Linked DNA regions of Neodiprion lecontei. Each later gene encodes a partner of the first gene's protein in a complex. Links are inferred from orthologs where the notes say so. Each region holds a gene or a part of one and is shown in the gene's direction. Other genes may lie near its edges.

Region 1 (3,296 bases):
AAGAGTTTATGGAATATGTCGTGTCTCCATACACTCTGCAAAGCAGAGGACAGAGTTAATATTCGACGCCGCGGTAAGAACCAAACTGCACGAGATCAAGCAGCTCCGCACCGCATTTGCTAAGAATCCAGCGCATTTCTGCACGAATTAATAGCAATGACGTCGGCCAAAAATATTTAGATTGGAGTAATGTTCCATACTGTGAAGGGAAAAATTACCTGAGTGTGGGCGATGATGCGCACAACCTTGCAGTACTTCACAATCTTCTTAAGATCCTTCTCGATTGATTTGCGACCAAGATCATCCTGCCACTTCTTTGATGCCTTGGTGAACGCCTTCTTCTTGCTCTTATACCTATACAACAGCAACGAGGTTCCTAAACATATTGTACGGAGCCAGTCTCATCATAGCGAGAGGAGACTGGACACCTTCTCGGAACAACCCCATGCATAATGAGGATTACGCCAGGCGGCTGATTCCGAATATTACTCTCATCTTTCGAGTGGAGAGCTGGGGTAGAGCAAGTAGAGTATAATGCACGTCTAATCACAGAAGCTAAAACTACATACTGCACTAGTAAAAAGAACAGTGTTGACTTGATGTTTTCTTTTTGCATTACTTTGATATATCAAGCTATCTAAGGATCTGGTAATTCAAAATGTTCAGTCTACAATCAATCGCATACCAATTCTTGTAGAAGCGGCGACGGCATTCTTCTGAGAGATGCTCTGCCCAAACAGTAGTCAGAGCCCTAAGACCATGAGGAGTTTCGATGTATCCAACAACACCAACAACAATCATTGGTGGAGTTTCCAAAATAGTCACAGCCTCGACAATTTCCTTCTTGTTGACCTCTGTTAAAAGCAAATAAACATGTCGTTGCAGGATTAGAGCGTGAGGGCTATGAATTTGCTCCATGATTAGGGAAGGGTGAAAATAGGGTAATCGACTCACTTGATCCCGGACGGTCAGCTTCTCGGACAACATGGGTCATGCCAGCCTTATAGCCTATAAAAGCAGTAAGGTGAACGGGCTTGGTAGGGTCATCCTTGGGGAAGGCCTTTACTTTTCCACGATGCCGTTGAGACCTCTTCTTGGGGTAGAACCCCATAGACCCGTGTCGGGGCGCGCTGAATTTTCTATGAGACTGTGGGCAAAGAATGAAAAATACAAGATTAGAAGTTGCAGATGGCCACGTGTGACGGGCGTTTTGTTAGGGGATAAAATTCTCAGACCGCCCTAGAATAATATCATCAGGGTTAATCAGTTTAAACCATAAACATTGAAATCTAAATCATCACTGATAGGAGTAGCATTGCATCGAAAACGCCAAAAACTCTCGACGAGCCAAGGGACGCGACACGAGGTTCGAATTTTCCGAAAAATTTTTACGGCGTTTTGGATTAACGGTAGGAAAAAAATATTGCACTACAATTACAGAGAAACCTGTTCTCAGTAACTCGATGAGTTAATTGGACGCAGGCGATGCAGGATGCCACAGATTTTAACGGATTATTTTATCACCGACAGACATCAACCGTACTCACCATCGCGCTGACTGCGTTGAAAATGGAGGATCGTACGTTGCGGATTTCACTTTTATACCGCAGTGATGACGGCAACTATGGAGAAGCCTCGATATTCGATTTTGGAATTCGAACGTCAAGTCGAAATGGAAGAGACACACCTCTCGATTACTTGACATCGATTCACTGCAGTCGGATCTAAATCTCTCTGTCGTCTGCCTCGCACTTATTTTGAGAACATTGTTTGTTGTAAATAATAATTAAATAATTGTCTAATATGGCAGAGGAACGGAACATTGTCATCGCATTTGCTAACGCGGTATTCAATATTCTTGACGGACCTGTCACCTTTTTCCGAGGTATTATCTAATCACTTCTTTTAGGTTATGATACGAAAATAGCCGATGTTCCGAACGACCGCCCGTGTCTTCTCAAGCATGTATATCTCGATGATAATTCCTTGATTACGAATTTTAGAAAAAATTGTTGTCCCAAATCAGCAACATTATCCTTGGTACCACCAAAAATTTCGCCGTGTTCCAACCATTGATGAGTGTTATATGGATGATCCAGTTTGCTCGTACGAAGCAAACATTCAGTTCAAACGAGACAAGTAATTATACCGAGTTACTGGTCATTCTTTCTGGGTAGCTTCTTCCTATCAATTGTCAAACTTGGCTTTGTTTCTCTCTCATATTTCAGACTGGTTGAAAGCGATATCATAAATATTCTAAGACAACGTTTCGAGGATTGTACTTTATATGAAGGACATGACCAAACGGCCAAATGTCGGCATCTGTGGGATCAGTACAACGAAGCTTCTACGAATTGGTTTATCAAGTGTATGTTGAGTATGGCGCCGACTTATCTTACTTGTTGAATCTTCTGTACTCTGAACATCTAATATCGAAGAATGGTTTCTTCAGATTTTCAGGGATTCTATATCTCCACTGCACGATACTGTACACATAGTAAACATTATTATCATTTTTCCAGATGGTGACCTTGGTGCATACGGTCACACACGAGACGCATTAATGAAACAAAAACATCGCATGATTTGGGAAAGACGATATGGTCCAGTTGGAACTGGAATGAATCGCGAATAAAAACTAAAATGAAAATACATTTTATAGAGTCGCGAAAAATCGATATTGTAGATAATTATACACAATAAATTAATAAAAATGATCATGAAACTTTTCTGATTTTTAAACAATAATGTAATTGCTAATCAACTCAATCTATCGCCAATAATTCCAAGCGAACTGTGAGATGTATCTTGAAGAAATTTATTGAATGTATGTAATACACATAGAGGTGTTTCTCTTCTATCTATAAACCGTTCAAACATCATTCGTAAATTCTGCTTCAGCTATGTGGTTGCCGCGCTTTCTTCCGTATGCAGCTAGAATATACCTATATGTATTTACAAATTTTTCTGAGGTCGTTGCGCTACCGACCACTGGCTCTATTATTCAGCAGTTTTTTTTTAAAACTAGTATTGTATCTCTACGTTCCTACATCATTCCTACATCTCTGATGAAAACAAATTTTTTTTATCAACATCAGGCGCACGCTTAAAACCAAGGACTCTAGGTATAATGCAGTATACAAAATAAAGTCTGAAGAACATCCGCGCCTTATACTGCAGGTGACGGCAATTTGATAAACGTGACTCACGTGATCGAGAATGCGATCTGAAATTAGCTCTGAGTGAAATTTGAATTCAAGGAGAAACCATCAAAAGAACGGCGCACGTACTTCGAC
Region 2 (3,051 bases), about 3.4 Mb from region 1:
TGAAGGCAGCATATATTTCATTTTCCCTTGCATATGGCTGATCTAAAACGTATATTGTATATCTTAAATGCTTTTCTCCAGGTCTATATAAGTCCAAAGAAACCTCTCCAACATCCACAACATTTCCTTTATGAAGTCCCGAGCAAATAACTGCCATTTGTTGAGCAGACTTAATGGCTGAAATAATATCATCGGTAGTAGAAACGCGTTCTAAAGAACCTTCAACCAAGCCCACTTCAAGAACCTATTCAAATTACAAATTATAGTTAGCAGGAAAATATTTCCTTCGCGTGTAAAGTTTCTGTGTCACAAGAAAAACAAGAATCTTACCAGTGCTGGTAGCTTCTTAAATTTCGTAGCAATTACTACAAACACTGGCATTGCACTACCATCTTCTTCGCGGGTTTTTGCTTCAGCTTCGTAGCAGCGAGTTACTCTGAACATAAAATCAGCTTGAGGAAAATAGGAGAGTAACTTTCTAAGAATATGCTCTTGCAATAACGATACACAAACGTATCTTCCTCCAACTCTCAAAACTCTTGATATTTCCTGAAACACATGACCAAAGTTTCGACTGTGAAAAGCTTTTCTTTCCGTTTCACACTCCTTACTTACCCCAAACAGCTTATCTACTTGTGAAATAACATCCTCACTTTCATCGGGCATCAAAGCGTCCAAAGTCCCTTTATCTAATACGACACTGAATTTATCGTTAGGATAGCTCATTGCTGTGGCGTCCATTTGTTCAAATATCATGGCAGGTCTCTGCGTTTTATTCTGATCTATCATTTGCCTGATCACAACGTGCGATATATCGATGTTAGTGATATTCCTGAAACAATAAAACTTGCAATTAGGTACAGAGTTTTCAGCAAAGGGATGATACGCTACACTTCTTGCATTCTCTATTCAATTTATACCTAAATTCATACCTATAACCAACATCGTACAGATCCATGCTCAGTGTCGAGTTTCCACAGCCAACTACCAAAACGTCATCTTTTGGTTTTATATATTTGTGGAGATGCCCGCATAATTCTGGATACTCACCGTACCTGAAATTTATAAAATCACACAAACATAAATAAAATAAAAAAATTATTTAAATGGGCAACTGAGGATAGGTTAGGTTACGGCAGGTTAGCATTACTTCAACAAGAAAAAAATTGATCTCGTTTTACCATTCAAAGGCTTTCTTTCCACGCTTTGAAAAAAACGTATTCCAATAAGTTTGCTGACTGAATTCCTCGTGCGATTTAGGCAGTAGATCCATTTTATTTATCTTTTCAAATTTTGCGCGATCCACGCGCTGCGCTCACCCCTAACCTTTTCTTTTATTTTTGTCGAACACTTTAAACTTGGTTTCCATCAAAACCGTTTCAAAACTCAATATGCTTGTGCAGCCAGAATATCAGCGAGAGAAATCCATTAGCGGCGTCCACTGGATTCTGAAACGCGATTGGCTCATAGAAGCTGATGTCTATAGGTAACGACGATCAACGGAATTCGCCCAAATCAATGCCTGTCGTCTGCTGAAAAGCTTCTTCGTGGCGCGTGTTACACAATCGCTGTTCAACTGAGGTGTGTTCTTGCGCAGCTATCTCTAAGCCTAATCTCCAAAACCCGACCGTATGACGGCCATCTTGGGTTTTCAACCAATCGTATTCGAAATTGTTTAGAAGATGGCTTTTATTCGGCCGGCGCAGTACTGGAAGAAAACGTATCGACCGGAGGAAAACACCTTATATTCTTATTCTTACATCACAGTTACAACTTTATTTGTGGTACAGGTTCGGAGCTACGTCTGTCCGTTGGCTCGTGCCTTATAGTTTGCGTAACTAACCTCTACGATCGAGGTTTGCTGCTGGTCTCCAATAGTGATTAGTGAGAGCGAGGATGGCGGGTGTAGTTCGTCTGCAAGGGCTTCAGAGGCTGAGAAACGCGTTGACAGGTGTAACCTCAAGACGCAGCATAAATTCCTCGTCAAAAAAATGCGAAGCCAAGAGTCAGACGCAGTGTGCGGAACCCCCTAAGGAGAACTGGGTGAGCTACGGTTTCGATCGAAACAGCAAGACCATCGATCGAAATGTTATGAAGCAAACATTATTTGTCACCGTCACCCTTTGCCTCGTTATTGGAGGATTTGGCTGGTCCTACTTGCCAGATCCATTGCTCAAGGACTGGGCGCAACGAGAAGCATACCTTTTACTTCGCTATAGAGAAGAGAATGGACTTCCTCTGATTGATCGCAACTTTATTGATCCTGCCAAAATCAAACTTCCAAGCGATGAGGAACTGGGCGACACAGAGATCATCATTTAGAGAATAAGTCAATCATGTTAATTTTCTCCTTGGAACTGCATGTTGTTGCATACGATAGTTGATATTATTTAGTGTAAAGCGTTACCGCACACCTGGCGAACAGCAAACTGTAGATGTATATTAACTTACGATACTAAAAAACTTACACTCCGAGCAAACTGCTACTATACAGTCTTCATATTCACCAGCAGATAACAATAAAATTTTGTGTACTAGCGATCCGATGTTTCTTCTTTCATTCACTCTTCGTTAAAAATAATCCTTAGTCAATCTTATTCTCACAGTTTGTCTTCAGTTAAAACAGTGGAAAATAATTTTACATATTTACGATAAATTTTTTTAAATACCATTTAATATTTGTTATTATAGTTTTGTAAAACCTATGAAAAATATAATACACCTCCAAATTAATAGCAGCAGACGCACGTTGATGGAAAATAACATCTACAGCGCTACAGTACTGAGCTAATCTGAATTCTTGTCAAAATTAATTGTTGAAAACTTCTACCACTCGTTTTTTTTATCGTCATATAATCTATACAAAACGCTGGTCAGAAATAGTCTTAAGTCTGTGAAAGTACCGATTTTTGTCCTCCTTTTTTATCCAACCTAATGTCCCCATTTTGAAAATCCTTTGTTCAAATTAAAACTCGCATTTATGTGTGTATGTAAAAATGCATTTTAACGATCGAACAAGTTCATTCAAAATAATTCTAGGTAGCATAATCA

What was found. The genes of interacting proteins can lie anywhere in the genome.
Region 2: the proteins of NADH dehydrogenase [ubiquinone] 1 beta subcomplex subunit 10 (region 1) and NADH dehydrogenase [ubiquinone] 1 beta subcomplex subunit 11, mitochondrial are in contact, whole or in part, in a cryo-EM structure (PDB 8BA0), measured with the Drosophila melanogaster proteins. The link is inferred for Neodiprion lecontei from reciprocal best matches to the Drosophila melanogaster genes ND-PDSW and NP15.6. Residues at the interface, in NP_651972.1 of Drosophila melanogaster: Trp40, His42, Gln43, Phe45, Thr50, Ile51, Asp52, Ala65, Phe69, Arg70, Arg71, Met74, Val75, Glu78, Ile79, Ile82, Leu83, Arg86, Ala112, Asn115, Trp116, Ile118, Lys119, Ala129, Tyr133, Gln136, Lys137, His138, Arg139, Leu140; in NP_650774.1 of Drosophila melanogaster: Gln101, Phe102, Arg103, Trp105, Ala106, Gln107, Arg108, Glu109, Gly110, Phe111, Leu112, Glu113, Leu114, Val125, Ser126, Pro127, Asn128, Tyr129, Val130, Asp131, Pro132, Ser134, Ile135, Thr136, Leu137, Pro138, Leu143, Glu147, Ile148, Ile149.

Annotation. Positions count from the first base shown.
Region 1 is NC_060263.1:2,683,184-2,686,479, forward strand, and holds NADH dehydrogenase [ubiquinone] 1 beta subcomplex subunit 10, read left to right. Parts: upstream 1-1,697; 5' UTR 1,698-1,803; coding exon 1,804-1,885; intron 1,886-2,003; coding exon 2,004-2,139; intron 2,140-2,228; coding exon 2,229-2,368; intron 2,369-2,522; coding exon 2,523-2,635; 3' UTR 2,636-2,725; downstream 2,726-3,296. Other genes in the region: 60S ribosomal protein L3, read right to left, coding at 219-354, 686-854, 955-1,147, 1,548-1,550.
Region 2 is NC_060263.1:6,113,282-6,116,332, forward strand, and holds NADH dehydrogenase [ubiquinone] 1 beta subcomplex subunit 11, mitochondrial, read left to right. Parts: upstream 1-1,750; 5' UTR 1,751-1,896; coding exon 1,897-2,322; 3' UTR 2,323-2,541; downstream 2,542-3,051. Other genes in the region: eEF1A lysine and N-terminal methyltransferase homolog, read right to left, coding at 1-244, 331-549, 616-832, 933-1,055, 1,182-1,273.